Oryctolagus cuniculus: one gene and its partners. The main gene of each other region encodes a partner of the protein of the gene in region 2 in a complex. Links are inferred from orthologs where the notes say so. Each region holds a gene or a part of one and is shown on either strand. Other genes may lie near its edges.

Region 1 (7,444 bases), about 16 Mb from region 2:
TTCCTGAGGCCAGCGCTGTGGCTCAGTGGGTTAAAATCCTGGCCTGAAGTGCAGGCATCCCATATGGGCACTGGTTCGAGTCCAGGCTAGTCCTCTTCTGATCCAGCTCTCTGTTATGCCCTGGGAAAGCAGAAGATGGTCCATGTTCTTTGGGCCCCTGTATGCATGTGGGAGACCCGAAAGAAGCTCCTGGCTCCTGGTTTCAGATCGGCGCAGCTCTGGCCAATGTGGCCAATTTGGAAGACCTCTCTCTCTCTCTCTCTTTCTCTGCCTCTCCTTCTCTCTCTGTGTAACTCTAACTTTCGAATAAATAAATAAATCCTCTTTTAAAAAGGTGTTCCTTGATGACACTTCCTTTTTCTTGAAGTTATACTACATTTAATCTCAGTACCACTGAGTGAAGCATATGGTCAACTATGCTTTAGATAAACTTTATGTCAATAAGTCTTGACTCCACGTTAACATTCTATACTACAGTGGGCAAAGTTGCTATATCATCCTTCTTTTGCATGCCCCACAATGCCTCGCCCAGTACTGAAAAAGTTGTAACCATTCAACCATAGCCATTGTAATTAATACTAATTGGGTAACTGTCTAAAGCATCTTCCCAAAATAACAAGAACATTATGTGCACAGTCCATATTTTCACCCTTGCTATAAGCTTACGTCAAAGAAATTTCAGTTGCTTCAAATGGAGGATATAATACAGAGAGAGAAGCTGTTTGGATCCAACAGGCATATTCTGGGAGTTGGTGATTACGCTAGATTTGACCTTTACAAAATTACACAAACAGGGCCCTAATAAATCAAGATAGATGTGTGCAGAGCCATACATGGAACATGGAGTGGGCGATCAACTACACCCACTCTCTTTCTTCCATGAAAGATTCTTCTTCCTCATCCCAAGGTGAATGTTCAGCTGGAAGGTTCATTCTAAGAATCATAACAATTTACATATATGTGTGTGTGTATTTGTGTGTGTGTGTGTGCGTGTGTGTGTGTATATATATATATATCTTTTTGGGGCAGGCATTTAACGTAGAGTCTAAAATGTCCACATCCCATACCAGAGTTCCTGGGATCATTACACAGCTTCGCTCCTGATTTCAGCTTTCTGTTAATGCAGGCCCTGGGAGGTAGCAGTGATGGGTCAAGTGACTGTGTTCCTGGCACATGGGAAACTGGGATTGCGTTCCTAGCTCCCGGTTGGGCCAGCCCTATTGCTAGCCACTGTGGGCATCTGGGGAATAAACCAGCAGATAGAAGCCCTCTGTCTCTCAAATAAATAAATTTTTAAAATTCACCTTTTCTTGACATAAATGCATGTTGTCTTTTTTTTCTCTTTGTCAAGCTGCAGTGTTCCAAAAGCTAAGGATTAAGAGGTGAACAGCTATCCAAAGCAACACAAAGAGCTGGAACAATATAGTAATCTATATCAAGCAGGATTCTTTTAGTACTTATTCCTAGATACTCAGACATTTTCTTGTCCCAAAATAACTAGTCCTGCAAATAAAATCTTTCAAGAATGCCCAAAAAATAAAAATAAAAATAAAAATAAAAATAAAATAAAATAAAAACCCGGCAGAGGAAGTCAATGGTTCCATCTCCTCATGCCTTCTAACCTAATCAACACCCTCCTTTCAAGGCTAAACCCAGAGCCTTAGGCTTAGCCAGAAATAGATATAGCACAGCCAACTGACTCATATAGCTAGGCCCTTTCCTATCTCTGCCACCAGAATAAAATTTTCCGAAATGATGCAATGGAGACATCCAAACCAGATGCATGGGTCCCAGTCATCCAGAGACAGCCACAGCATCTACAGGACTGCAGGCAGAGGTGCAGGGAGGCAAGGAAAGGATGCAGGAGCCGACAGGAAGCCACCGCTTACCTCCTGAGGGAATCTTCCTCAGAGCTTTCCTCAGGCAAGTCCTGATGTAAGGCCTCCTGTGACACAGTTCCAGGTCTGCTGGACTGGGTGTAAATTCTTTCCCAGTGGCCTGTCTCCTGGTTAAAGGCCACCCCCACAGTCCTCTCCTCCTGCGGACTAGCAGAGCTGCTCAGCTCCAGCCTGCTGGAGCTGGGTGTTTGACCCTCAGTCCGCTCGAGAGGTGGCAACTGGCTGCCACTCGACGGCATGCCCTCAAAGGTACTGGGGACCTGCCAAGAGGACGCAGCCTCACCCGAGGAGTAGCTGGGTGTGGTTCTTTCCCAGCGCAGGGTATCGTTGTTGAAGGTCAGGAGATTGTGGCAAGCACGGCAGCGGTTCAGGTGGCCACGAGACAGGCTGGAGTTGTTCTCACTGCTGTGTGGGGTGGGCTGGTGGGAAGGGCCTGGCCTTTCAGATTCAATGTTATTGTTGAGCATTTCCTGGGCCTGCTGGGTCTGGGGGGCTTCCCCACTGAGGCTCTGATCCAGCTCCTGAAGCCGATCGTATTCCAGAAAGAAGCGTCTCAGGTCACACTGGAGCTCATGGCGAATGCTGCCGGAGTTGTTCTGGCTGGAGCCACTCCCTCCTTCTGACTCAGTTGCCAACCCTGAAGTTGGAAAACCCCTCCCTTCTGTGGCTGAAGTGTACACGGATGCCTGAGAGCCACCTTCCTGCTGCCTCAGCACAGACAGTAAACTCACCGAAGAGGCACTGGTCCTGGGCGGGGGCATGGATTCCGCCTCAGAGCGGGAGTTCAGACTGAGCACTGTCCGGGTCCACTCAGATCCAGTCAGCCCAGGAGCTATTTCCCGGTGATACCTAGAAGGGTGGCTAGACAGAGGGCCTCCCAAAGAGCGCCGGGTGGGACCCAGACTGAGGTTGCGGAGCGTGTTGCCGGCAGTGCTGCTCTGGACTGTACTGAAGGCAGACGGCCGGTTCAGGAGGCCCTGGTCCTGCTGCGTTGACGAGGCCTGCTCCGGGGGATGGAAGGGCTCGGTCTGTACAAAAGAAAAGGAAGGGGTAGTAGCCCTGGCAGAAGCAGGGGGGACACTGTCCTGGTGTGGCAAGAGGGAAGGAACTCGAGTGCCAGAGCAGCGGCTGCAAAGGCACAGGATCCCGAGGTGCTGGCAGCACTCAGCTGTGGGGTAACTGACCCGCTGTCGGAGCCTGATGTAGGCGGAAGTCCTGGGACGCTCCGTGGAGGACTGAGGGGGAGGCGGTGGGGGTGAGGGGGTAGCAGAATCTTGCACTGTGCTTTGCTCTCCCACCTGGATGCCAGAAGAGCGAGAGGACAGCATGTGCAGGAAATTGTGCAGGAGAGGCGTCCGGCGAACGGGCTGTGACTGCAGGAGGGCACGCTGACGGTAGTGGGATAGTTCTGTTCCATCCATGGGGATCTCTGGCTCATCGTCACCCTGCAAATGTGGACCAGCATGGGGCAGGCGTACGGCAAGGCAGTTAGGTAGAACTTCCAAGTCAATCCAGAAAAATTAACTACTGATAATCAGCCAAGGACAAACAACCTTCACAGACAGGCAATAATTCTCTACCCCTGAAGCAGAGAGACCTAACTGGCTTCAGATTCCGAATCATCATAGGGTATTAAACTAGTCACTTCCAATGAGCAACTTATCTGAATGAGTACAGCTGGCAAGCCAATTCTCTTATGAAAGGCATCTCCATGATATGGAGGTAGTGAGTGAAGCCAAACACCAACCAGTCCAAGGCATATGAATGACAAGCCATCCAACAGTGCCTGGTGACTGCAATGGTTACTTCTAGGTGATCACTTCCAGGTTTCACAACTGTCTCTCATGTTAGGATTATAGCTGTAACTTTAAATATACAGCCTGAAGCTAATTTAAATCTCGACTGGAAAGAAAGACTTGGGCACTGAGAATTAAAATCCAATATAATCAGAATTAGAACACAAGGTTAGAAAAAAAGCTGGGACTGCTAGCATAACTTACCTGCTGATTAGAGGGGTTAACAATTGCTGTAAGTAAGTAGTGTCCAAGTGGATCAAATCTCACCAGACTGAAATCACAGAAGAGACAGAGACACACATAGAGAGATTATGTCAACTGAGAAGAGGAAATCTGTGTTGGAATTTATAGCAACCATTACCAGGAATTATGAGATTACTTGGGTATCCACTTCATGTAAGACTTAAAATTTTCAAGAGATTAAAATAATAGGGCTTGAAGCCGGAGCTGTGGTGTAGTGGGTAAAGCTGCTGCCTGCAGTGCCGGCATCCCATATGGGCACCAGTTCAAGTCCTGGCTGCTCCACTTCCAATCCAGTCCTCTGCTAATGGCCTGGGAAAGCAATAGAAGATGGCTCAAGTCCTTGCGCCCCTGCACCCAGGTCGGGGACCTGAAGAAGCTCCTGGCTCCTGGCTTTGGATTGCAGGCCAGCTCCAGCCGTTGTGGCCTTTTTGGGAGTGAACCAGTGGATGGAAGACTTTCTCTCTCTCTCTCTCTCTCTCTCTCTCTCTTTGCCTCTGTCTCTCTGTAACTCTGCCTTTCAAATACATCTTTTTAAAAAATAATAATAAGGCTCAATAAGAAGACCAGAGTAAAATTATTTCACTTCTGAAAACCCCCTGGGGGCCAGCACTGTAGTACAATGGGTTCAGTTGCTGCCTGCAATACTGGCATTTCCTGAGTGCCGGTCTGAGTCCCAGCTGCTCTGCGTCTGATCCAGGTCCTTGCTACTTGGGCCCCTGGGAAAGCATGGCCTCCCATTCTGCAAGGATGGCCCAAGTATTTGTGTTCCTGCCACCCATGTGAGAGACACGGTGGAGTTCCAGGTTCCTGACTTCTGCATCGCCCAGCTCCAGCTATTGCAGTCATTTGGGGAGTGAACCAGCAGGTGGAAAAGTCTCTCTTTCACTCTGCAACTCTACCTTTCAAATAAATAAATTTGCTCCTCATACCTAAGAGCAAACGGTAAAGCATGAAATGTTCCCGTGTGCTGCCACAGGTTGTTCTTCCCTCAAAAAGCAGTCATACTGGTGACAGTGAACAGTCTCAGCATACAGTAACAAAGCTGAACGTAGAAAATTAACTTATAACCAACTGCAATACCAACACGGCCAAAGGAAGACAAAGCATCAACTTTAATTCAGGCAATATGTGTTTTGATCTTGAGGGTTAAATAAATATTCATTAGCAGAGCTGCCAGACACATGCTTACAACTCCTTCTTCCAGCTGGATAAACACAGACAACCAAAGATGAGTTATTATCCACAAAGCTTTCTAAAATACTACCCAAACCACTTTCAGGTTTCCTCAAAGAAAGATCCCAAATGCAGCCAGCTTTGAACCTAAAAAAGATTATAATGGGGAAAGGATCTGGCCTACTGGTTAAGATACCACCTGGGATGCCTGCATCCAATGTGGACATGCCTAGGTTCAAGTCCTGGCCCCACTCTCAATTCCAACTTCCTGTTAATGCACACCTTAAGAGGCAACAACTAATGTCTCAAGTAGTTGGGTTCCAGCCACCCACATGAGAGAATCAGATTGAGTTTCTGGCTCCTGGCTTTGGTCTGGTCCAGCACTGGCTATTCCAACCATTTGGGGAATGAATCAGCCAACGACAGATTTCTCTCTTTGCCACTTAAGTAAAGTAACAACCTCTTTAAAATTTAAAAACACATTATAATGGAAGTGGATATTTAGTCTAGCACTTAAGATGGGCTGAAGTGGTGGCACAACAGGTTAAGCTATCACCTGTGCTGCTGGCATTCCGGATAGGTGTTGGCTTGAGTCCCGGCTGCTCCACTTCTGATCTAGCTCCCTGTTAATGAACCTGGGTAGGCAATGAATGATGGCCCAAGTATTTAGGCCCCTGATGCCCACTTGGGAGACCTGGATGAAGTTCCAGGCTCCTGGATTTGGCCTGACCCAGTCCTGGCTGTTGTGGCCATTTGAGTAGTGAACCAGCAGATGGAACATCACCCTGTCTCTCCCTCTCTCTGTAACTCTGTTTTTCAAATAAAATAAATCTTAAAAAGGAAGAAAAGGACTGGCGCTGTGGCGCAGCAGGTTAAAGCCCCAGCCTGCAGTGCCGGCATTCCATATGGGCGCCAGTTTGAATCCCGGCTGCTCCTCTTCCAATTCAGCTCTCTGCTATGTCCTGGGAAAGCAGAAGATGACCCAACTCCTTGGGCTCCTGTACCAGTATGGGAGACCCGGAAGAAGCTCCTGGCTCCTGGTTTCAGATCAGCTCAGCTCTGGCCATTGTTGTCATTTGGGAATAAACCAGCGTATGGAAGATTTTTTTCTCTAACTCTACCTATCTCTGTAATAAAAATAACTCTTTTAAAAAAAATAAGATGGTCCAAGTACTTCGGTCCCTGTGGGAGATCCTCCAGATCCAGCTGCTGCAGCTATTTGGGAATAGATAGAAGACCCCTCTCTCTCTCTCTCTCTCTCTCTCTCTCTCTCTCTCCTCTGCCTTTCAAATAAATAAATAAATCTTAAAAAAAAAAAAAAAAAGTCCACATCCAAAATCAGAGTATCTGGGTTCAGTTCCCAGCTCTGTCTCCTGATTCCAGCTTCCTGCTAATGCAGACTCTGGGACGCAGCAGTGATAACTCAAATGACTGAGTTCCTGCCATCCACACGAGAGCCCTGGACTGAGTTCCTGGCTCCCAGCTTCAGCCCCAGCCTCTGTAAGCTCTGCGGGGAGTGAACCAGCAAATGGGAGCTGAGTCTCTGTGTGTCTCTTTTCTCTGTCTCTCTCTCAAATAAATAAATAAATAAAATTGGTTATATTCCTTCTAGTGAACGTGGTCTACAGAGACCTAAGTTGGGGCCAACAGGGACAGCTGAAATGAACATAAACTGCTTCCAAGACAATTAGACAGATGACCAGAAAGCAGGAGGAACCAGAGGGATAGCAACCCCCCTGAAACAGAGACAAGCAGGTGGCAGCACGTAGAAATGTTCTGTCATGTGAGTTCTGTGCAGAGCACTCACCGGACCCGTTCCATCTCACTAGCTGTCTTCACCACTGCAAATGGCTCCCGTCGACTCCAGTCCCAGAAGTGGATTTCATTGGCAGTGGCAATCAGCAGGAGCTGAGCCGTGGGGTGGAAGGCCAGGGAGGCAATGGCATTGTTGCTGTCTGTGAACCAGCTTTCACTGCCACCCTGTGAAAGAACCAACACCAAATATTCTCAGGTTTTAAGTTGCCAGCAGAGGGGAACGTCAATCTCAAGAGAGGTGCAGTTAATGAAAACTACTTGTGGTGTCTATTTTAAATACATCCCCTGTAAAGCAATGCAGATCAGTGAAATGGCAGGGTTACTAATTTATCAGATAAATGTAACTGTAAGGCCAGTTCTTCAAGTCATCTGTAATCCACAGCACTGAGCATAAACAAGGTTATTGTTTTTGCAGGTCTGCAAATACTCATGCTTGGTGCACAACTTGGGACAGAACAGACTTTGGGAGGCAGCAGTGATGGCTCAAGTGACCCGCTAGCCAGTTACCAGGGCACAAAA
Region 2 (8,216 bases):
TTCTCTCAGCGCTGGCTGAGCAAGGCCGGAGTGGGAAGTGGGCCCCCGGGGGTTGGGGATGCCGCCCCCGGCCTGGAAAGCAGCCGTCCCCTCGGGGGCCGGGCTCAGCCATGCTTTACAGATGGGGAAACTGAGGCCTGGCTGGGCTCAAGACCCGGCTGCAGCCGGATCTGGCTCCTGCGTGGCCGTACCCCCAACCCATGCCATCCGCTGGGAGGAGGGTGTGCGGCACGGCACACACACGGGCTAGACATTCTGCCCACCACAGAAAATTCCAGAATGTGCCCTCTGCCACACCAGAGTCCTTTGTGGACCCCCCAGCCCGCTGAGGGTGGCGGCTGGCCCGGGGAGCCCCCCCGCCCCGCCCCAGACAGCAGCCTCCTCCAGGCCCGGCGCCTGGAGCCGGGGCCGCGCAGCCTCAGCTCGGGATCTGCAGAGCCACACGGGGTCACTGCGGCCTCTGTCCACAGGCGGGACGGGCAGCCCGGGGACACAGCGCCGGCTGGCACGGCCGTGACGTATTGGCCGGCGAAGCTGAGCAGGTCCTGGGGTCCCCGCAGAGGAGGGGCAGCTCCCAGCCGGGGCAGGGGCTGCTCTGCCTGCAGGCTGGGGCCTGCCTCCCCCACCCCGGGGTGGGGGCACGGCTGGGTCACAGCAGAAGTGAGCTCCGCCCCTCTGGGGTGGGCAGCCGCTGTCCCCATGCCCTGAGACCCAGGTGCCGCCAGACAGGGGCCAGGCAGGTGCACATGAGACGGCATCCAGTGGGGACACTCCCAGAACCTTCCAGGGCCGCCCCCCTAGGATGACCTGGGCCCCCGCCGGGGGAAACTGTCCCTGACCGGCCAACAGCTCTGCTCTGTGAGGGATTCCCCTGTGAAGAGAAGGGGGGCCGCCCGGGGCTGCCACTCACCGGGTCACACTTGATCACCCTGGACAGGAAGCGCGTCAGCCGGTAGCAGGACAGGAAGCTGTTGGGGCTCCCCAGGTGCAGGCCTTGCACGGCGGCCACCACGCTGCCGGCCGCCACCATGGACGGCGGGTTGGAAATGAACTTGACGTCTGCAGCAGAGGGAGAGGGAGGGGGCCCGTGAGCGGGGGGTCTCCCCCGAGCACTGGGCGCAGCCTGGGCTGCGGGCGGGACAGCAGGGGACATGTGCTGTGGCGCTCACAACAGGTAGTCCAGCCACTGTGTAGGGCGGGCGTCAGCCCCAGACCTGCCCCTCAGGGGACCACATCCCGGAGGGACCGCCTGTGCAAGGCACCAGCCACCCTCCAGGCCACTGCGATGGGGCCTACGGGTTCCGGTCCCCCCGGCAGGGCTGGGCTCGGCTCTCCCGGCCACCTTGGCTGGGTAAAGCCAGCCCCACACCAGGCCCTCGGCTCAGGTCGGGTTTTTGGCCATTGCCCACCACCAGCAACGCTGGGCCCAATGCCCTGGACGGCCTGGGAGGCGGGGGTGGGGGACCCCAGGGATCAGGGTCCAGGAAAGAGCAGAGGGCTGTAGTGCTGCCCCCACCCTGGGCGCCCCTCTGCGGGCCTCCCTGCCTCCTGTGTGCTCACTCTGCGCCTGGCAGCTGGCTGGCCCAGGAGTTACTGGTGAGGGGCCCTGGGCTGGAGCTGGGCCAGGCTGTCCCCGCCTCCCTCCCTGGCCCCCGTGGCCACGGGGCTCAGGGGCGCAAGACCCCTTCCTGAACTGGCTTTGTTTGCAGGGGCGTCTTGACCTAACCCAGCCCAGCCCAGAGCAGTCGTGGGCTGTGCACTGGGCAGCCCAGCCCCCTATGCTGTGGAGGCCAGGGCCAGGCCCCGCTAGCTCCCATGGGGGCCGTCCCCCCACCTCAGCGGGAACCTGGACAGGCTGCACTCTAGCTGTGCCGCACGGGGCCCAGGCCTGCTGGCCGCTGACCGCACCCCAAAGGCGGGGCCTGTGCGGCACCCCTGCACCAGCTCGCCCGCCTCCCCACCAGCACCTGGGGTCCCGGCGGGGAGCTGTGGCCGCCATGTCTCCGTGCAGGGCGGCTGTGCGGGAGCCGGCCCTCCCATTATCTCCAGGGAAGTGTGTCTCTCCAAACCCACTTTCAGCTCCATAAAAGGCCGCCTACAGTCTGGGAGGCGGCCCTCGTGCAGCCCCGGCGGGAGACTGCCCGCCTGCCCGCCTGCCCCCGCGCCTGGCCAGGGAGGCCTCGCACGCTCAGGAGCCGGCTTCTGAGACCCCCCCGGCAGGACTGCGGCTTAGGGTGGGACACGGCTGCAGGCGGGAGGGGCCGGCCAGGAAGATGGCTGCGCCGGTCCGGGACTTGCTCTGGACCCCCAGGGAGGAGGCACACGCCAGATGTGGGGGGCTCCGTCCCCCTGTCTTCTGGGGTGACCCCTAGCCCGCAGGTGTGAGCCCAGACAGCTGTGATGAGGGAGGCCGGACCAGAGCCGGAGGTGGAGCCCAGCGCGCGGCGAGGGTGAGGCAGGTGGGCGATGCGTCTGTGCCCTCCCCCCACTGTCTCCAGGCCTCTGGCACTCAGCAGTGGGGCTGGGGGTTGCATGGGGGCGCAGCTGACCCCTCCAGGCTTCTGCAGGCGTGCAGGGTCTGGGGCCAGGGCAGTGCCACACCAGGCGCCAAGAGCAGCCAGGCCAGAGGCCCCTCCCAGGCTCAGCTGGGCTGGCCCCAGGCGCCCCTAGCGGGGCCTCAGGCGGCCAAGCTCCTCTGCTGGCCGCCCCCGCACTGGGGCTGCGCGCCTGCCACTGGCCACCCGAGCACGTGGTGCAGGCGCTGCCGGCCGCTCTCCCCTCCCCGCCCTTGTAGGCGCCCCTGGCAGGTGGCCCAGCCCGGGAGAGGCCAGGAGGGGCCCCCGCAGTCCAGGCTCCTTGAGGACACGGGGAGGGGTGGAGGTGGGTGGGGGCGGGCAGCCCGGCCGCAGAGGCAGAGCCGGCTGGGCACGCAGTGGTCACGGCTGCCAGGCGCGCCCAGCGCAGCACAGGGGGCCGTCGCTGGAAGAGGCCCCCCCCCGCCCCCAGGCAGGCTGGGAGAGCAGGCAGGCGGGGAGACCCCGGGGCCACCTCCCCTGGGCGGCGCGCGGTGGTGGGGCGCGAGGCCCTGGCCGGGGCGCCCCACCTGTGGCGCACAGGGCGACGAAGGTCTGCGCGTGCTTGCGGATGATCTGCTTGTTCTCTTCGGCTTCCGGCATTTTGGAGAGGAAGTGCTCGATGAAGTCGTGGGGGGTCATCGCGGCCAGGTTCCACTTGAGCTTGTTCACCAGGAGCAGTTCCATTTGCTGCGGGAGCGGGCGAAAGGCGCAGCGCGCGTCAGGAGCCGCACGCGCAGGGGTCTGCCCTCCGCGGGTTGGGGGGGGCCCTGGGGAGGAGGGCGGAACAGGGAGGGGCGCGCCCAGGGAATGCGGGGCGCGGTGGGGGAGAGGAACCCGCACACGGTCCCTGATCCAGACGGGAGGAGGCGACCGCGAGGCGACCTTGTGCAGGCAAGGACAAAAAAAGGCCACCTTCCGCCACCTGGAGCCCGAAGGCCGTCCGGGCTCGCGCCGCTAGGGGGCGCGCGCCGCCCACGCTTGCCCGGCCACGCCGCTGCCGGGCGAAAACTTGGTGGGAGCCGCGGACCGCGAGCGGCGGGCGCCGGCGAGGGCCGCCCCCAGCCCCGGCCCCGGCCCCGGCCCGGCCGCCCGCGCCTCTCCTCCCCGCGCCCGCCCAGCGGGGATCCCGCGGCCCGCAGGGCGCCCCCCGGGTACCAGCAGCTCGTCCGGCCGGATGGAGTTGTCGGTGTAAATGCACAGCTTTTCGGCGGTCAGCGGGATGGTCTCTTTCATCTTGGAGGCCACGAACATGCAGGTGGCCCCCAGAAGCTGCAGGCGGCTCTTCTTCAGGGGCTCCAGCGACAGGAAGCGGTCCAGGTAGTTCATGGCCAGCGGGAAGACCTCCTCCTCGCACTTCTGCTCCTCGCAGACCTGCGGGAAGACGCGGGGCCGTGACCGCCGCCCGCGCCCCGCGCCAGGGTCTCCGTGCCCGAGGGCGCCGGGCCAGGGGCCGGCGAGGGCTTCCCGGGGTGCGCTCGCCGCCACGCGCGTGCCTGGGGCCCACCCACCCCGAAACTGAAAGGGAAAGTCCCCGCGCGACCGGCGCGGACGCACGACCCCCAGGACCCCGGCCCGCGCGGGGTATCCGGGGCCGGCACCCGCTGGGGTTCGGGGGCTGGGGGCGGGCAGGGGGCCGGGGGCCTGGGGCCGCGGTGGCCCGGCGCAGCGCTCGCCCCGCGCCCGCGAGACACAAAGGTGGCGTCCCAGGCCGCCGCGCCGCATTTCCCCAGACGTCATCTTTTCAAAAAATATTTAAAAATATTAAAAAAATAACTGGGCGCGCAGAAGACCCCTGAAAATGACCCTCGGGCGGTGCTCTACCTGGGCCGGGGGCCGGGAGCCCGCGGCAGGCCCCGGGGGGAGCCCCAGGAACTCAAACTCGGGGACCCCCCCCTTCGCCTCGGGCGCAAGGGCACTGCGCCGAGCTGCGAGAAGCGGCTCAAAGACGCCCGCGCGCCCCTCGGGCCTGAGCACGCGCCCCAGGCCCCCGGCCCGCCCCGGGACGACCCCCGGAGCCGAGCCCCCCGGCGCCTCGGGGGCCACGCGACCTTGCAGCCCGGCGCGCCGCGTGGCCCACGCCGCCCATGTGGGGTGTCCCGGCGCCCGCCGCGGGGACAAAGGGGCTCCCCGGATTCCCGAGCCGGGTCCCTCGGAGCGGCCCGCGCCGCGGCCCCGCGCCCCTCCCGCAGGCTCCGGGCGGCCGTGCGGACCCTCGCGGCGGTCCCTCCGCGCCCCGCCGGCCGCTCCCCGCCCCCAATGATTAATAAACGCGTTAGCTTTGCAATAAAAGAGCAAAGATGGCGCGTAACACTGGCACGAGCGGCACTTGCATACGTGTCCGTGGGCATTCACCTAAAGATCCGACCCGCGCCCCCTCCCCCCGGGCCCGCGCAGGGCGCCCGGGCTGCACCCCGCACCCGCCGCGGTGGCCCCCGGCGCCGCCCCTCCCCCTGCGCCTGCAGAGGGGCGCGCTCCGGGCCGCCCCAGCCCCCACGCGCCCCTGCCCGGGTCGGAAGTTGCCCGCTCTCGGGGTTATTTATTCGGAAAACACGGATTCCGTAGCAGCGGCGCGGCCGGCACCTCCAGCATCCAGGTGGCCACGATCTTGCGCATGGACGGCAGGATCTCCTTCTGCACGCACTTGAAGTAGGACACGGAGGGCGCGCAGGTCTCCTCCGCCTTGAGCATGGCGCGCAGCACCCGGTCGTTGAGCAGGTTGGCGTCGGGGTAGGCGCGGCGCACGGCCTCCACCTCGGAGCACAGGAGCTGGTGCTCCATGGCCGGCCCGGCGGCGGGGTGCTGGGTGCGCGCTGGGCTCCGGCCGCCCGTCCGCTGCCGCGCCGACAGCGCTGTGCAGGCGCCGGGACTTTGCAACTTCCACAAAACTCCCCAGCAGCCCGAGTGACGCGACCGCTGTTCAGCGGAGATCAAAGCCGGGCAGAGAATGGGGGCGGGGGGCGGGGCGCGCGCGGGGGCGGGCGCGCGAGGGGCCGAGCCCGGGAGCCGTCCCGGAGCCGAGTGCTCATAGACATGCAAATCGCACCCCGCCGCCCGCCGGGGAAGCGGGGCGCAGGGCGGGGGCGGGGGTGGCCCCCGAGACCGGCGGGGTGGGGCGGGCGGCCACCCGCGTGGAGGGGGCAGCGCCACGAGGGCACCCCCGGGAGGCGCTCGCATCCCCTTTCATTTTCAGGAACACGTGTAGAATCGGGGCCCCGCGCGCTGGCGGGGACGCGGGGCGGCGCTGGTGCGGGGGGTCGGGGCCCACGCCCGTGGGGCGAGCCCCGCGCGCGGCAAGGGGACTGTGGCCCCTCACGCGTTCGCTCGGATAGTTAAAATACAGGCAGCCGCCCAAAATGGTGGCCGGCGCTGCCTCCGTCCCGCCCCTGGCGCCCGGGGCCGCCTCGTGTCCGCACCCGCCCGGCCTCGCGGGGGTCCCCCCGCACACCTCGCGCCCAGCACACGTGCGGCCACTGCGAGGCGGCCAAGCCACGATGCGGGTGCTGCTAACCGCCCCCCACCCCCCAGTTTTTTTAAATTAAAAAAATAATAAAAAAATCGCTGGGCACGGGAGTCGCTGATGCCGGGGACTACGTGCGACCCCCGGGCGCGCCCGCATCGGTTCTGGGGGCCCAGGGCGACCGGGGTGGGGGGGCTCGGAGTTTACCCTGGGGCCGCCTCCGTGGGCGACAGCGAGGAGTCGGCGCCACGAGGAGTCACGCGTCGGGCTATTTTGAAGCAGAAACCGGGCGTGCGTGGCCCCGGTCCCGCAGGGCAGAATGCATCACGCAGTGAGCGTAGTCTGTCCATTGGGCTCTTTGAGTTTTTTAAAAAGCTAAATGGACACTTTGCCCATTCTTGACTTTTTTAAAACTTTTTTTCTTTATTTTTAACAGCGCTTTCCTTAACTGGAGAAGCCCCGGGACTTCGGGGTGGCCCCGGGGGGATGGGCGCGGGCCGCGCCGGCCGCCGTTTCATTCATAAAATCGCAACGCGGCGGCGGCGCGGGCGAGCATGCGGCCGTGCGCGGGGCCCCGCGCGCAGCCCGGCGGGGCTCGGGTGGGCGCGCGCAGGCTGGCGGCGCGGGGCCCCGGGCGGCGCGCGCCCACGCGGGCCCTGGGCGCCCGCGGCCCCGCGGGGAGCCCGCCCCGCGCCCCGCGCCCCGCAGGAAGCTGGAATTAGCATGAGCCAATCGCCGCGCCGCGCTGTTACTAGGCGGACCCGGCAGATCTCCGCGCGGAACTCGGCGGCCGGCGCGGGCCAGGGACGGGCGCAAAAGTGCAAGCCGGGCCGCCGGGCGTGAGGCGCGGCGCCTGGGCGCGCGGGGCAGGCAGGCGGGGAGCGGCCCCGCGCGCACGGAGGCGGTGTTCAGCTTCTGCACTTATCGTCTGCCTCTCCAAATAATAACTTAAAAACTTTTCTTGCGGTGTCAGCGCCGCACTTGTTAGAAAAAAAAAAAAAAAAAACACACCACGAAGCTGGAGCTGCGCCCCGAGAGAGCTCTCGCTTCTGGGCGTCCCGTTGACTTGGAGACAAAGGGCCGGCGCCCCCCACCCCCGGGAAGCAGCCCCCACGTAACTCGGGACGCGTGCCCGCTCCCCCCCGCGCCCGAGCGCCACCGTCCCCGGCTGTGCGAACCTCTGTCCCGCGGCGCAGACCCCAGCACGCACCGCCCGGCGCGCGGCGCTGGGGACGGGGCGCGGGGCCCGGAGCCCAGGGGCCGCCCCGAGGCGGGCGCCTGCCCTTCCCCCCTCGGACCCGGGCGGGCGCGCCCAGGTGCGGTCACCTGCAGCCGCATACCTGGCAGCGGCTTCAAAGGGCTTGTTTGGCTCCAGCTCCGCGAGGTTTCCATTGTTAAGCCTTTAAGTCGCCCTGGAGGACGCTTCCGAAGGCAGGCCCCGCGGTTCCGGGGGCGCAGGGCTCCCCCACCCCCACTCGGCGCATGGCGGCCCACGTGCTGCGGACTCGGCCCGGCCAGGTCCCGGTGCCCACCCGGGACGGACGACGCCGCACCCCCCGCGCCGCGACCACCGCCTCCGATCAATTAATTGAAACCACACACAGACTACCCCGCTCCCTGGGCCCCGGGAACACGCGGGGCAGGCTGCGGGCGGGGACGGCCCTTTCCCGCTGTCCCCGGAGCCGCAGGCCTCCAGGGACGCCCACGGGCTCCCAAGGGGGAAGAAGCTGGGAGGGGGGGTTGGAGGCCGTGGGAAATCTCGCTCCTCGCCCCGCAGAACGCATCGCCAGGGGCCCCGTGAGCCACCCACACCCCGACGTCCCCAGGGGATCCCCAGATTCCGGCTCTGCACCCCCGCGCGGCTCGGACCCAGAGTGGGCGCCCACCTCCACCCCGCAGGCCACGTGCAGCCCTGGTGTCCCGCGGTCCTGCCGGGCTGGGCCGTCCCCGCGCGCGCCGCGAGGACGCGGGGCTCCTGGCCGCACTCCCTGGGACCCCTGGGGGCCACACTCGCGCTCCGGCCCTCGTGGGCTCCCGCGGCGCCCCCGCCCATTCCGGAGGCCCGGGGAAGGGTCCGCATTCCGCGCGCTGCAGCCCGCTTGCCAGGCCCCCGCGCCGGGGTCTTCGCTGAGGGTTTCCGGACCCTTTTCAAGGAAGTGGCGGAAAAGTCAACTTTTTCCCCA
Region 3 (6,210 bases), on a different chromosome or scaffold from region 2:
GTGGGGGTGCGCTCAGGCACGGGCTCGGGCAGCGGCCCCTCGCGCGCCCCCCGCCGCGGGCGCTCCGAGACCCTGCGGCCGGACCGGGCCCTCGGGGGCGCCGAGACTCCTTCCTCCCAGGTTCCCGCCCTCCACGTCGCGGTTCGGGGAGGACTTTCGAGCGGTTTTGTTTTCTTTGCGGCCGTCTATTTTTATTTTCCAGGGATCTGACTCATCCCGTGCTTTGGGCGTGGAGATAAGGTGGAGGGGCCAGGTCCCGGCGCGCCTGTGCATGCGCAGGGGCCGCGCGCGTCTCCGAGTCCGCCGCCCCGGAGTGTCCGTGCGCGCGCGTGGGGTCTGTGTCTCTCAATGTGCCTACCCGTGCGTCTGCGGCTGTGTCGGTCTCTGCGTGTCTACCTGTCGGCGCGCCCCTGCGTGTGTGTGTGTGTGTGTGTGTGTGTGTGTGTGTGTGTGAGTCGAGTGTGCGGACGGCTCAGCGTGACGTGTTTGCGGCGCGGGCCCCTCCTGCCCTCCCCGCCTCGGGTGACGCGAGGCCGGAGTGGAAGCGAAGTCCCGGCGGGCGGGAGCGCGGGGCAGGAAACTGACTCATCACGGCCGCTCCCGGCGCCCGGGCCCTGCCCACGCACCGCCCTCCGACGCGGAGTACCCTGGGGCCCGGCGCCCCCTGCCGGCCCCGGCGCGAAGGGCCAGCCAGCCCCGCGAGCCCGGGGCGCCGCTCGCAGCCTCCCCCCACCACCCAGGCAGCGCCCCACGGCCGTGGGCTCTACAGCACTTACTGAGCCCCTACGATTCACTGGCCAGCTGGGGGCTGAAGCCTGAGGCATCCCCGGGGAGGTTCCCCTCGGTGGCCTGGGGAGGAGAGACCCAGGAGAGGACAGCGCTGGTGGGAGGGGGCGGTCCCGCCCCCCGCCCTCGCCCATGGGGCACCCACGCAGCGTCCTTGTCAGACCCACCAGTGTGTTCCCCTCTTGGCTGGCACCTCAAGAGGGCCTAGCTGGGTGACGGTGCCAAACACCGACTTAAATCCCCTTCTGTTTGAACTGAGTCGCTCGGGTGGGGATAGGGGGTCGATGCAGATTTCTAAAAAGTGCCCCCCAACCGTGGGGATTCTGGTGGGCCTCAGAACTGGGGAAGGGGGCCAGGAACCCAGGATGACCGCTTGCGGGCCTCGATTCAGTGACTACCCCAGCCTTGGTCCCCACTTCTCTGTAAAGGAGCTCATTCAAATCCAGTTTTTTGGAGGATGGCTGTGCCCTGGAGAGGGTGGACAGCGGTTACCGGAGCCCTTTGCGGCTGCTGCCCTGTGGGACCTGTTTGGGGGGCAGTGGCCTTTTGCCTTTCTAGCTGTGCGGTTTGGGATGCAAGTCTCATCTCGTAAAGCAGCTGCCCTTTGAACTTGGCCTGAGGTCACTGGGTGACTTTCCTCTCCAGCCAGCTGCATGGTGGAGCTAGGGGCTGTGCTCAGGGTGGGAGGGGCCGTGGGGTAGGTGTGGCAGGTGTGGCTTCAGCAGAGCTGTCCCCCCCAGAGCCTGTGAATCTGGTCCTGTCCCCAGGAAAAGCTGGAGTCAGGCCAGAGCAGGGCGCCCTCGCGAGCAGACTCCCCCTCACTTTTCCGGAGTGGGAGGTGTGCAGCCTGGGTGGACCAGCCATCTTTCATGTCCATTGCCCACAAAACGGGTTTCTTGGAGGCAGGCAGGGCTGTGAAGGGTCCAGACTTTGGCTCACCTGGTGTGCCTGGCAGGATGTGGCTCAGCCGGGGGAGAGACCGCCACCCCGCCCCACCTTCCCCCGAGGCCACCCACCTGATGCCATCCTTGGGAAAGGCCCCCAGCCTACGGCACCTGTCAGCTGCCGTCTGGAGGGGGAGAGGCAGGGAGGAGGCCCAGCCAGAGCTGCAGGCACAGAGGCGTCCTAACACCACGGTCTTCTCAGCGCCTTGGCCAGGTGCTGCCCAAGCATGTCCCCCACCTCTGAGACTGTTGCTGTCACCGGCCTCTTCCTAGAGAGGAGGAAAGGGGAGCGCAGAGACGCTAAGCCACTGGTCGGGGTCGCCCCGCGGAGCCTGCCCTCCAACCCAGCCCCTGTCACACCTGCTGCTGCTCGGCCTGCCTGGAGGGACTCCTGCCCCCACCCTGGCACTCTCTCAGCTTCCATAGACCAGGAAACGGAGGCCCAGAGACATGCAACGTCTACGTGGGAAGCCGTGGGGCTGGGATGACAGCCTGCGTGTTTTTACTCCAAAGCCCGGGGTTCACTTTTCCAGGCAGGAATGATGGGGGAGGTTGTGTTGGGAGGCTGGAGGAGCCCCTGCCTACGCCTCCCTCTGGGAACCGACTTCCTGGCCAGGACTATCACTGGGAAACTACTGGACTCTGGCAATTCACACCCCTGAGGGCCACCTCAGGGGAGGACAAATTGATTTTAGCTGATAACGCTGATGGCAAACAGGACCCTGCTCCCGGCCAGGCCATTGCAGTGAGGTCATGCTGTGGACATAAGCTCGCCCCGTGCTGCCCATGCCCCCATTGACGTCAGGGTGCCTGGCTGGCTGAGTTCTGCCCCCACCTGGGGTCTGTTGGGGGGTGGGGGTGGATGCCCCGCCCCAGCCAGGGTGCGGTAGAAAGTCCTTGTTGGGAACCGGGAAGCGTCCTCACCAAGGCCACCCTTCCACTGTCCCAGCCCTAGGCAGCATGTCGCAGCCGTCGGACGAGGCGCCACAGCCCCCGCACAGGAGCAAGGCTTGCCGCCGCCTCTTCGGGCCCGTGGACAGCGAGCAGCTGCGCCGAGACTGCGACGCACTCATGGCCGACTGCCTGCAGGAGGCCCGCGAACGCTGGAACTTCGACTTTGTCACTGAGACGCCGCTGGAGGGCAACTTCGCCTGGGAGCGCGTGCGGGGCCTGGGTCTGCCCAAGCTCTACCTGGCCCCGGGGCCCCGGGGTGGCAGGGAGGACCCGGCAGGGTGCAAGCGGCCGAGCACCTCAGCCGCCCTGCTGCCAGCGGCTCAGGAGGACCACGTGGACCTGTCGCTGACCTGCACCCTGGTACCTCGCTCCCCGGAACGGCCCGAGGAGTCCCCAGGCGGGCCTGGTACCTCTCAGGGCCGGAAACGGCGGCGGCAGACCAGCCTGACAGGTGAGGTCGGGTGTGGGGAGGGATGCTAGGGGGGACTGGGGCCCTCGGAACCCCCCCATGCGGGACCTGTCCTGTTTGCTTCAGCTTGTCCCCGAGAAGGGAAGCCGCCTAGGTGAGGCTGCACACAGGGCTGTAGCCAGCGTTTGTCCAGGGCGTATTTATTACCCGGCAGTCCTTGCTGAGCGACTGAAGACAATCTTGCTCCCCTTCCAAGGAGACGAGGCTCCGAGAGGGAGAGATTGGCCTGAGGTCGCGCAGGGCGTGTGCTGGGGAGAGGACACTGGCCGTAGCGCCATTCTGGCCTCTGCAAACTTTATTCCCTCCCCTCATCACACACGCGTCCCTCCCTCCCCCCACCTATCCGCCGTGTCCTCGTCGGCATTTTTCTACCCTGGATCCACTGTTCCTTCTGACCTTGACACGGGCCGTCTCTCCCACTAGCATATCAGCCCCACAAAAAAGGGATCTGGGCGTCTCTTGTTCATTGTGGAGTCCCCAGCCTGGAGAGCAGTGTCTGGTGGAGCAGGTGCTCCATGAAAGGTGAATGAGTGATGCTGGCATTTGGTCACCTATTACGCCGGGCCCTGGACCAAAGCCTTTAGAGAGACCATTGATTTCCTCCTTAGAGTGCACTCCCACGGAGAAGCCTCATTTGCAATTTATTACTTATTCATTCAAGAGACACAAAGAAAGCTTCCTTCTGCTGGTTCCCTCTCCAAATGTCCTCAGTAGCCTGGGTTGGGGCTGCAGGCAGGAGCTGGGAATTCAATCCAGGTCTCCCACATGGAACGCAGGAAACCGATTTCTTGGGCCATCAGCGGCTGCCCGGAATTCCAGAGTCGGCATTAGCAGGAAACTGGAGTCGGGAGTGAGAGCCGGAATAGAAGCCAGGCACCCTGGTGTGGGAGGCAGGCATCCTCCTTGCTGGGCTGGAGGCGCACTCCCACGCCTCGTTTTGTAGGTGAGGCAGCTGAGGCTGAGGGGTGCAGACGAGCGTCCTGTGGGCCATTTTCAGTTGGGTCTGAACTGATGGTGATGACAATGATGACTCCTGTGGACCTGGGCCAGGACACTTTCTGTGGACTGGTGGACTGCCTCCCACAGCGCTGACCAGCAGAGTTCTATGCAGGGGCGGGCCTGTCCAGTGCAGGGGTCCCTGCGTCCCAGGAACCAGATCTTTGCTTGTGCTGGATTTGAGTCCCCGGAAATAGCCACGTAGAAGTAGCGGCTCCTGCTCAGGGCAGTGTGGCCCAGACCAGACTCATGGACAGTCACATCAGTGAGGCACAGGGGTGCTCCCTGGGTTCTTCCCCATCCCTTAGCAGGGTGTCCCTGCCTTAGGGGAGGCTGTCCCAGCCTCTGCACAGTAGACTTTGGGCGTGTGACTCAGTGGCGCCCCCTCGTGGCCTGGCTGACTCCATGTCTCTCTCTCTCAGATTTCTACCACTCCAAACGCCGACTCGTCTTCTCCAAGAGGAAGCCGTAATCCGCCCGCCAGAGGCTGCTGGCTCCTGGAAACAACAGGGGGGCCCCCCGAAGGCCCCTTGCACATCTCTGCCTTCATCTGCCCTTCAGTTTGTGTGTCTTAATTATTATTTGTGTTTTAATTTAAACTCCTCCTTGTGTACATACTCTGGCAGCCCCTACCCCCAGCCTCCGGCATTAGAATTATTTAAAAAGAAATTAGGCAGTAGAGTGATAGGCGCCCGAGTGCTGGGTATTTTTATTATATGAACTGTTATTTAAACCCTTTTTCCTCCCTGTGCTGTCTCTGTCCCCTCCCTCCCAGGGGTGAGCTGGTGCTGGCTCGGGGCCAGTTGCCTTGTCCTGCCCGTGCGGCCATCCTTGCCTCCTCCGTGGGTGGTGCTGGGGCCCGGCTCCTGCCCCTAGCCTCAGCCCTCCCCTGCGTTCTCAGACCCAGTTCCTTGAGAAGGGCGTGGATAGCACTTTGAAGGAGGGGTGTGGCGTCATCGGAAGCTCTGGAGTCCCCTCACCTCCTCTAAGGTTGGGCAGGTGACTCTGAGATGGGCACAGCCTGCACGGGCCTGGGGCTCTGTGCCCTCCTGGCCCATGATGCCCCCTTTGTCCTGGGAAGGCTGGGGGAAGGTGAGGTCCCCGAAGCAGCCTCGCCCCGCCCCGTGGTGCATCCCGTTCTGGGCTCCCACGCACTGTCTGGGGCCTCGGCTGCCCAGCCCTGTCTCCTGCTCTCCCTTACCCCCGTCCTGCCCCTCCGGCGCCCTCGCAGCCCCAGGTAGCGCAGCCCAGAAGGGCGGGCAGGTAGGCAGGCAGGTGGCAGGAGCAGGGCTGCCCGGTCGGCCTTTCGCAGCGCTACAGGTGGGGTCCAGTGTTGTGGACAGGCCTCCTCTAGTGGGATCTGTGTGGGTAGGGGGGTGCTGGAGGCAGAGGGTTTTCTAGGAGGGAGACCCCAGTCCCCGGAAGTCATCCCATATCTAACCCGTCCCTCCTTATTTCATTGCACTTTGAGTAGCGGCTGAACAAGGAGCAGCTCAGGGCAGGGGAGGCTGTCGAGGGCACACGGATTGGGCCGCTATGGCTCCGAGAGTGGGGGCTTTGAGTCCCTGGGCACTTCTGACCCCAAACACCTTCCAGCTCACTCTTGGGACATCTCCCACTCCCCACGTGTCCTAGTGCCCTTGTCTCTCCACCTAGGCCTCACACCTCCCGTGGGCAGGGACCACATCCTGCATGTCCCTCTATGCTTCACAGCCCCTCCCCCAGTGCTGAGTATACAGCAGGTGCTCAATAAATGTTTCTTAATGACTTGTGCATTGCTGTTGTGGTCATTATACCTTGTCTTTTATAAAAGCAAATAGATGGGGCTGGGGGGATGTTTTTATCATTTAAAAATAATTCTACAAATTAAGTTAAGCATTTATATTTTTAAAAAAGATTTATTTATTTATTTGAAAGAGTGGGAGAGAGAGGAGAGACACACAGAGAGAGACAGCTTCCATTCCTTGGTTCATTCCTCAGATGGCTGCAATGACCCCAGGCTGGGCTGATCCAAAGCCAGGAGCCGGGAGCTTCTTCTGGGGTCTCCCAGGTGCAGGGGCC
Region 4 (8,153 bases), on a different chromosome or scaffold from region 2:
ATTGATTGGCATTCAGGCCACAGACGTCCGGGATTAGCCGCGGGCGCCGTCAATCCAGAGGCAGGGGGTGGGACGGTGCAGGCTCAGAGAATTGGGTTTGGCTGGCCTGGATTTAAAGAGACAGAAGCTGTCGGGCACCTAGAAGACGGCTCGTAATACCCTCCCCCCGAGTCCTTGGGACCGCTTGGGTCCCCAGCACTGGGGCAATGGTTTGCGGCGGCTTTGCCTGCTCCAAGAATGCGCTGTGCGCGCTCAACGTGGTCTACATGGTGAGGTTTCCGAGGTGGGGGAAGCGTCAGCGGGGGGAGAGGCGAGCGGCGAGAATCTCCAGGGGACTTCCGGTGGGGAGAGGGGTGCACTGGGGGTTCCGGGAAGAGCCTCAAGAACTTCCGGCGAAGAGGGGGATTCCTGGGGACTTCCGTGGATGAGGGTAGACTTCCGGTAGTGAGGGGTCTTTTCGGAGGGTGGTGGGTGGGGAACAGGGCCAGGGCTGTGTGTATGAAGTGCCACCCCTCCCTTTAGTGAACCTGTTACTCCCCAGAATGTTAATCATGGACCACGCGGCCAGTTCAGTTTTTACGCTCAGAGACTATGCGGTCTCCTCGCGCCATCCTGACCTCCTTTGGGAGGAGCGCCCAGGGATGCACCTCGTCCCCCAGTCACAAACTTGAATCTCCTATTTTGCCTAGGCCCCCTTGTAATTGCCATCCACCGTGCTGCATGCCAGGCCTCGTTGAGATGAATGCTGCTGTTTCTTGTAGCTCGTGGGCTTGCTGCTGATTGGCGTGGCCGCCTGGGGTAAGGGCCTGGGTCTGGTGTCCAGCATCCACATCATCGGTGGAGTCATTGCTGTGGGAGTCTTCCTTCTCCTCATTGCAGTGGCCGGACTGGTGGGTGCTGTCAACCACCACCAAGTCCTGCTCTTCTTTGTATCCTGACTTGATGTGATGGGGGCCTCCCAGCTCTTGGGAGAAGTTGGGGGACCTCAGGGCTCTGACCATAATCTGTGACACAAATGCTGGTCTCATTGTTTTCAACTTGACATGAACATATAAAAGTCTGTAAGACCAGGTGGTTATTTTAGATGGAGCATAAAGGAACCTCGGTCTTTTCCGTAACTCTTACTCTCAGTACATGATCATCCTTGGTTTGGTGTTCATCTTCCAGTTTGGAATCTCCTGCTCATGTCTGGCTATTAACCGAAGCAAACAGGTAAAGGGGGCAAGTGGGATTCCTTCTCAAGTCCTCGATTTTCCTTAACCTTTAGCTCTCCCTGTTAGTCTGGCCCCAACTACCCAAACATCACCCTTTGGCCCACTGCTTCCAGGCACTTAAGCACTTGCTTCCTCTGGGATGTCTGTTAATTTCCCGTGACAATCTAGAGAACCCAAGGTGGTCATCTATCATTGTCTGTAACTGACACCATTGTGCTCCAGAGCGATGCTGTCTCCCTTTGCTAGAACGGGGAAACTGGGGCACTTCAATTGAGCTTCGATGTAGGGAAGCTGAACTTCCCTCTGCCCTTACCCTCCAGACAGATGTCATCAATGCTTCTTGGTGGGTCATGAGCAACAAAACCCGACATGAACTGGAAAGAAGTTTTGATTGTTGTGGCTTGTTCAACCTCACAACCATGTATCAAGACGATACTTCCTGCAATGCTGTGAGTTGGGGGTAGGCACAGCGGGGAGGAAGCAGGAAACCGGCAGATTTGAATGCCACCGCCCCTCTTTCTAGCAATTCCCTTGTGTCCAGGCACTGCTGGTGGGGGAGGGGAGATTTAGCTAAATGGGCTTCTAGGCTGTAGGATACTGGTCAGATTCTAGTAATTCCTAGGGGTGGCCACCCCAGACATTTGGAGAAGGCAGCTCAGCGTCTCTGCATTCTCCAAACACACGCCTTCTCCTCAGATCTGCAAGAACAGGAGCTCCGCATGCCCCATGTGTGGAGAGAAGCTCCTTAGGCATTCAGATGAAGCCCTGAAAATTCTGGGGGGCGTGGGACTCTTCTTCAGCTTTACTGAGGTACAGTCTCCCGTTCCCTCAAGTACACCCCTTCTCTGCAGGTCTGACCCTCTCAGAACTGAACCGTGCCTTCGTGGCTCCTCTTGTCCCTACAGATCCTTGGTGTCTGGCTAGCGATGAGATTCCGGAATCAGAAGGATCCGCGCGCCAACCCCAGTGCCTTCCTGTGAGACTCTGGCCCCTTCTGCCTGCTCTCCTGCGTTTTCTTTTTCCCTTAGGGAAAATCCAGGGTCTGCTGCCCCTTTTTGTTTGAGAAAAAGGAAGGGCCCTTTGCTACATCCCCTGAGAACAACTCAACAGTGAGGCTTCAGGGCTTGACAGACTTGGGTGCAGCCAGACTGCAGGCTAGAAAGAAAGCTTTCTGTCTGCCCAAGTGGATGCAGGCAGCTCCAGGGAGTGCATGGGGCGGGGCTGTTTCCCCTCTTCACCTTCCCACATGCTGGGCTCTGGAGGTCAATCAGGGGCAGAGCCAAGGAGAAAACCACCAAGAACGCCTAAACAGGACCCAGTTTGAGCCATTTCAGTGAATATAAAAATAAAAGCCATTTCAATTCCACGTTTGTGAGTGCAGGGGCTCTGTGTGGCTGCCCAGGCCCTGGGTCTAACTTCAGGACACTCTTTAAGGGGCTAAGGGAAGTCCCTTCTTCCACATGGTTTCTCCAGATCTCCCAGTGACAAAGCCAATCAGAGAAAGAAACATTAAAAAAAAAAAAGACCTTATTTCTTTGTCTTATTTGTTTTCCTGTATAAAAAAGGACCCCAGTATCAAGGTAGGAAAGGGGGAAAGACGGGGCATACCCCTTAGTGTAGAGAAACAGGGGGCAGGAAGATAGGCCTCGAAAGGAGGGGTGGGAAGGGAATGTCATCAAGGTAGCAAAATATTCTCTGTAAAAAGTCGGAGTCTGCCCGGCCGCAGAGACGAGGCAGAGCGGTTTTCTCTGTGGGGTTCTCGCCACCCTAGTGTCCAGAAGAAGGGCGTGGCTGGCGGTGTCCACGGCTCACTCTGGGCCGCCTTCTTCCTTGTGGAGGTAAGAGTGCTGCAGGGCTCTGCAGGCAGAGATCCGCTTGTGTGGGCTGAAAGTCAGCATTTCCTAGGGGGTAGAGGCCAAGGTCAGAAAACCGTGGAGCACAAAGACTTCTCTCCCTCCCCTGACTGTCCCCAACACGACCTGGGGATGGATTCTCTATGTTGTGTATCCCTCTCTGCACCTGGCCACTCCCAACAGCAATAAGAACTGCTCCTCAACCACCACGGGCTGGGGCCGGACATACTGCCGTCTCTCAGCCCAGTCTCGCCCCATACCCACGCCCCACGCCCGCACGTACCAGCAGCAGCTGCGCTCCGGACTCCTCCAGCTCCGGCACCACCGACTGCACTGGGCGGGGCCCTCTTGGGGAGAAGGCCGCTCGGGGGAGCGACACATCTCGGGGCCAGTCGTCTTCCGGAGGCAGCCCGATCAGGCTAGGGAGACACGAAAGCTCTGTCACAGGGGTCCTTCTCCAGCTCCCGTCCCCAGGCAGAGCCAGTGGGTTAACTCCGAGTTCAGCAGAGAGAGGACTCAGAATGGAAAATTCTCTGCCCCCTGGCTGGTCACTTACTCAAAGATTTTGCCCAGCTGGTCGGCTTCGGAGTTTCCACAGAAGAGAGGCCTAGAGCGAGAAGGAATACAAGGTGGCAGTCACTTTCAGAGACAGCGGTGGCATGAGTCCTGCTTAGTGGGACTTAGAGGGTGTGGGGAATAAAGGCATGTGAAGTCTCTGATTCCGTCTCAGAGCTGGTTACGGGCAAGATGGTGAACAGCACCCAAGTACAAAAATGGCCAAGGCATGCATGTGGCTCCTGCACAAGGCGGGGGACTCAGGTTGTGCAGGGAACTTGGGTCCCATACTTTCGACGAAACATTTCTGCAAAGATACAGCCAGCGCTCCACATGTCCACAGGCGTGGCATATGTAGACTGCAGAAGAACCTCAGGAGCACGGTACCAGAGCGTCACAACCTAAGGGAAACAGCGAGAGTAGGTGAGGGCCCCCAGGGCTTCCGGGAAGCACCAGTGCCTGATGGAAGGACAAAGTATGATTTCTCAGCTGCTATGGGCAATCCTTCTCCTACCCCCAACCAGAGCCCATTTTTGGCTACCACATCTTTCTACTGACCACAGGTGTAAGCGCCATCTGGTAGCTGTAGATTCTAGCCAGGCCGAAGTCAGCCAGCTTGACCGTCCCGCTGCTCGTCACCAGAATATTCTCTGGCTTCAGGTCTCGGTGGACGATGCAATTGGCATGAAGGAAATCCAGGCCTCTAAGAAACTGGCGCATCAGATCCTGATTTGCAAGGGAAAAAAAACAGACACACAAGAAACCAGGCATTAGGCCTGAAATGCCCAGGGCTTCTGCTAGAAGGTCCCAACCCACCTCCCCGTGTCCGCCCCCGCCCTTTACCTTGATGGTCTCTGCCGGCAGGCCTGGTGGGGGTGCCTTGTCCAGATACGTCCTTAGGTCTTGGTCGACGTGCTCAAACACCAGGGTCACCTTGATTTCCCGGTCGGTTCGGGAGGTGGCACAGACGTCCATCAGCCTGGCCAGAACAAATGGTCCCTCGCTAGCTAGGATCCTCTGACTCCCCTATGGCCTCCTCATCGTGTACCTCCCCAGGATCCCCACCTCTCTCCTGACCACCACAGCCCCCCTGCCTGGACTGCCCACTCCGGGCCCTGCACCTTCCTCTCACCGGACAACATTGGGGTGCTCAAAGGCCTCCAGCCGCCTGAGTAAAGCCACCTCGCGAACAGTGCTGATGGGAAGGCCCCCTCCAGCGCCTCCTCCATTGGGGACTCGCACGCTCTTGAGGGCCACAAAGTGGCCACTGTGGGGGTCCCGGGCCTTGTACACCGTCCCGTAGGCACCGACACCAATTTCAGCTACAGGCTCGTAGCGAGAGGTAGCCATTCTCAGATCAGGGTTGACCCTAGGAACACAGAGATTCCCTGCACCACATGCTCTCCCAGAGCTGGGATGGCCTGAGCTGGCAGCGGACAAAGTGATTCCGACACGGATGGCACAGACGGCCCCACCTGCACCCCGCGCCCTCCGCGACCGCCCGCCGCGCCGCGCCTCAGGTAACAATGACTCCAACAGCGACCCCTCCAGCCACGTGAGGCCGCACACTTTGTAAAAGCCCCCTTTCCTTTGGGAACATCGCATCCAGCACAAAGGAGATCACACACATACACACGCCTGGCGCCGAGGATCCCGCACCCCGGTCCCCGAAATTACACCTTCCCACGTCCACAAAAGCCCCACTTCTCGCCCGCGGGCGACCCTCCCATAAATCGCCTGCGAAGCGCACGCATGGGAAGCGGCTGTGGGGGGAGGGGGCGGCGGCGGGACTGGCCCCCAGTGGGGGCAGGGGCTGCACTTACCTCACTCCAGGCTGGGAGGTGCAGGGGCGGCCCGTTATCGGGGCCCCGGAGCTGGTTCCTCCAGCGCCATACACCCGAGCTCGGTCCTGGGCACCTGGACGCTCCGGGCCCGACCATAGACATAGGCCGCAGGCTAGAGAGGCCCCCTCACCCCCACCCTCACCATGTGACCAGCTGCCAAAGAGGCGCGCGGAAACTGGGAGGGCGGGGCGGGCGCCGGACGTTCGGGACACGTGACCGCCACCCATGCGCAGAGGGGCGGCCGAGCTGGGCTTGGACGGGGAGGGGGGCCCTGAGGGGAAAGGGGGCGGAGGGGGGATGCCAGCCACGTGACCTGTTGCTATCACACGTGACCGCTTGACATTGCTCTGAGGAGCAGAGGTGTGGTTACGCGGCGGGGCACGTGACTGGCTGCCATAACCTCAGCGCCAGGGAGGTGGGGTGGGAGAGGGGGAACGGGAGAGGGTGGAGTCCGAGGCGGTGCCATGGCAACCTGGGCCACCCGGCTCCCGACTCCACGCTGAGGGCAGAGCACCCGAGCTCCTGGCCGGCTGCTGGCCTCGCAGCCTCTCCACGCTGGCGGGAGGTGGGGGCAGGGGCGTCGGCGGTGGCAGGTGGGGCTGTCACCTTACGGCTCCGCGGCCGTGGGAAAACAATCGGATTTGTGTCTTTGTTTCACTCATTCATTCAACAAAATTGCATTGAGCGCTTGCTTGCAGTGTGTGTGTGGGGTTTTGTTTTGGTGTCTGCGTCACTGGCTCTTAGGAGTAGTGGTAAGGCTGTATATAAAATGTGGTCCTATAGGGAGTAGACAATGCCCATCTGAGGGCAGACTGGAATTAGAAGAGGGGTGGAAGGCAGGTTAATAGAGTAATCCAACAGGAATTGTGGCAAGGTAGTGCTTGCCTCTCTTCCCGGTCCGGGCTGCTTCCAGCCCTCTCTGGGAGTGTTACAATAGACTGGGTGCTGTCAGGCAGAGAAGTTATTGATGAGCAGGAGGCAGGAATATCGGCTTTGATCTTGAAGGTTCTTTTCAGCGTTGAGTTTACAAATCTGTGATATGTGGATGCGTGTGTGTGTGTGTGTGTGTGTGCTATGTGATATGTGTGTCCTTTGTCCTCAGATGAATAGGTAGAGGGATCACCATAACCATCACCAACATCCCAGGCCACTGCTATACACGAGATTGACTTCTGGCCTCCTGCCAACCTTGTAACTCACTCGGGGGCCTTGTGCTTTCTTTTCCCCAGACACCACCTTCTTAGCGCTCATCACCGCCCTGAACACAGCCTTTCCCAAATAGCCTCTGCCTACAGACACCTAGACACAGGTAGATTTCTTATCTTATTGGCTCCAACTTCTTTATCTCCCAGCTCTTTGAGGACATGGGAGTAAAGAGATTGAGCATCTTGTCTGTGAGAAATTGTCTAAAATCTGTAAGCATTTTATTACCCTATTTGCCACTCCTTGCACCCTAAGTTCTGTTCTCAACTCTGGTGGTCATGTAAGAGTTCCGACCTGAAGATGAGTTCACATGAGTCAGGGCAAGATGGAAGTATGTCAGTGCCCATTCCACTTCGGATACTTGCGACGCTTGGGCCCTGGCTACAAGGGCAGCTGGGACACCAGTAAGGAAAACTTCAAGATCCGAACGAAGAGGCTGGAGAGGTGAAGGTTTCAATGGCTACCAAGCAGGGGCTGGTTGGTCTGTGAGCCTTCCAGAGCCTGGGCTAAGTGGGAGTTTGTCGAGCTCTCTTGCCCATCAGCAGTCCTCACTTCGCCTCCATCTTCCACGGAAGCCCTCTGCGGGTCACTGGGCTGCGAACACAGCCATCTTTCCTGTATGGGCACTTGGGTCCCAGCACCTTTTCCTGGTTCATCCATTTGTCCATCCAAAACATTTGAATTCTTCCCAAGATCACGACTGTCTAGCACTTCCTATTGGGGAGTCTTAATTTGGCGGTCTGTCCCTGGCTCCATCCCCTCCCTTCTCCTGTTAATTACTCTTTGACTAATTAATCCTCTCCCAGTGTGTTTGACCCAGTGGGCTCCCCTGAAATCCCTTTTCCCTCAGCTTTGCAAAGGGGAGGAGATGGAGAAAGGACATAAGTGCAAGGCAGAAAAAACACGTGTGGATTGATTCGCAGGGCCAAGGCTCCCACAAAAACAAAGGGCTAACCGGGAGAGCTTCCCGGTAGTAGGGGTGAGGGCAGGAGACTAGCAGGCAAGAAGAGACTCCCATCCCTTTAGCACTCCCACCTCCCTGGCTCACTCACCCCCTCACACATCACCATCCAACTGCTTCTCACAGGCAGTTCTGTCAGCTTCCACTCCTGATAGACTCGCCTCTCTTGCACAGCACCACACCGGCTCACACCAAGCACACTTGCCAGCCTTTTGTGTGCAAGTGTTTACTGCCTGCGCCCATGCCTTTGGCCACTCACCTCGGACCCCCGGGCAGCTCTTTGCACACGGCTCTTGGTACACCTGCATCCCCTAGGCACTCATCATCCATCCTATACACACACACACACACACACACACACCTATTCTCCGACCCCGGCACACACTCCCCTTCCCTGGCCACTCCCCTCCCTCCACCCTCGCGGGGCCGGCATACTCGCCCCCGCCCCTAGGGACACCTGCTCGTGCGGGGCAGGGCGGGGATGCGCAGCCGCGGCCCCTTCTCCTCCTCTCCCCCTCTCCGC

The links.
Region 1: the proteins of CCND1 (region 2) and AMBRA1 are in contact, whole or in part, in a cryo-EM structure (PDB 9IVD), measured with the Homo sapiens proteins. The link is inferred for Oryctolagus cuniculus from reciprocal best matches to the Homo sapiens genes CCND1 and AMBRA1. Residues at the interface, in NP_444284.1 of Homo sapiens: Thr286, Pro287, Thr288, Asp289, Val290, Arg291, Val293, Asp294, Ile295; in NP_001354397.1 of Homo sapiens: Arg54, Ser55, Phe57, Val73, His75, Arg96, Thr97, Trp99, Leu116, Ala139, Arg184, Ile945, Asn1012, Asn1029.
Region 3: the proteins of CCND1 (region 2) and CDKN1A are in contact, whole or in part, in a crystal structure (PDB 6P8H), measured with the Homo sapiens proteins. The link is inferred for Oryctolagus cuniculus from reciprocal best matches to the Homo sapiens genes CCND1 and CDKN1A. Residues at the interface, in NP_444284.1 of Homo sapiens: Met56, Ile59, Thr62, Trp63, Glu66, Val67, Glu70, Glu92, Lys95, Lys96, Ser97, Arg98, Leu99, Gln100, Leu101, Ile126, Tyr127, Thr128, Asp129, Ser131, Arg133, Glu136, Gln139, Met140, Leu142, Leu143, Asn146, Lys147; in NP_000380.1 of Homo sapiens: Ser15, Lys16, Ala17, Cys18, Arg19, Arg20, Leu21, Phe22, Gly23, Pro24, Val25, Ser27, Gln29, Leu30, Asp33, Cys34, Asp35, Leu37, Met38, Cys41.
Region 4: the proteins of CCND1 (region 2) and CDK4 are in contact, whole or in part, in a crystal structure (PDB 2W96), measured with the Homo sapiens proteins. The link is inferred for Oryctolagus cuniculus from reciprocal best matches to the Homo sapiens genes CCND1 and CDK4. Residues at the interface, in NP_444284.1 of Homo sapiens: Leu6, Cys7, Cys8, Glu9, Val10, Thr12, Ile13, Ala30, Lys33, Ala34, Thr37, Phe108, Lys112, Met113, Glu115, Pro118, Leu119, Thr120, Ala121, Leu138, Gln139, Glu141, Leu142, Val145, Asn146, Lys149, Trp150, Asn151, Leu152, Ala153; in NP_000066.1 of Homo sapiens: Gly45, Gly48, Leu49, Ile51, Thr53, Val54, Arg55, Val57, Ala58, Leu59, Arg61, Arg62, Ala65, Phe66, Asp76, Val77, Cys78, Ala79, Arg82, Ile87, Val89, Asp129, His132, Ala133, Asn134, Cys135, Ser285, Phe287, Arg288.

What each region holds. Positions count from the first base shown.
Region 1 is NC_091432.1:19,383,959-19,391,402, reverse strand, and holds part of AMBRA1 (activating molecule in BECN1-regulated autophagy protein 1), read right to left. Parts: intron 7,091-7,444; coding exon 6,918-7,090; intron 3,966-6,917; coding exon 3,899-3,965; intron 3,344-3,898; coding exon 1,890-3,343; intron 1-1,889. UniProt on the Homo sapiens protein: Substrate-recognition component of a DCX (DDB1-CUL4-X-box) E3 ubiquitin-protein ligase complex involved in cell cycle control and autophagy.
Region 2 is NC_091432.1:3,244,406-3,252,621, forward strand, and holds the start of CCND1 (G1/S-specific cyclin-D1), read right to left. Parts: upstream 5,503-8,216; 5' UTR 5,355-5,502; coding exon 5,157-5,354; intron 3,948-5,156; coding exon 3,732-3,947; intron 3,264-3,731; coding exon 3,104-3,263; intron 1,060-3,103; coding exon 911-1,059; intron 1-910. UniProt on the Homo sapiens protein: Regulatory component of the cyclin D1-CDK4 (DC) complex that phosphorylates and inhibits members of the retinoblastoma (RB) protein family including RB1 and regulates the cell-cycle during G(1)/S transition.
Region 3 is NC_091436.1:132,892,461-132,898,670, reverse strand, and holds the end of CDKN1A (cyclin-dependent kinase inhibitor 1), read left to right. Parts: intron 1-207; exon of another isoform or gene 208-334; intron 335-2,679; 5' UTR 2,680-2,690; coding exon 2,691-3,135; intron 3,136-4,571; coding exon 4,572-4,621; 3' UTR 4,622-5,916; downstream 5,917-6,210. UniProt on the Homo sapiens protein: Plays an important role in controlling cell cycle progression and DNA damage-induced G2 arrest. Involved in p53/TP53 mediated inhibition of cellular proliferation in response to DNA damage.
Region 4 is NC_091442.1:60,318,811-60,326,963, forward strand, and holds CDK4 (cyclin-dependent kinase 4), read right to left. Parts: upstream 5,699-8,153; 5' UTR 5,694-5,698; coding exon 5,446-5,693; intron 4,992-5,445; coding exon 4,755-4,991; intron 4,602-4,754; coding exon 4,466-4,601; intron 4,349-4,465; coding exon 4,181-4,348; intron 4,024-4,180; coding exon 3,914-4,023; intron 3,675-3,913; coding exon 3,624-3,674; intron 3,487-3,623; coding exon 3,351-3,486; intron 3,116-3,350; coding exon 3,023-3,115; 3' UTR 2,745-3,022; downstream 1-2,744. Other genes in the region: TSPAN31 (tetraspanin-31), read left to right, coding at 207-269, 762-929, 1,132-1,212, 1,535-1,663, 1,911-2,024, 2,120-2,194.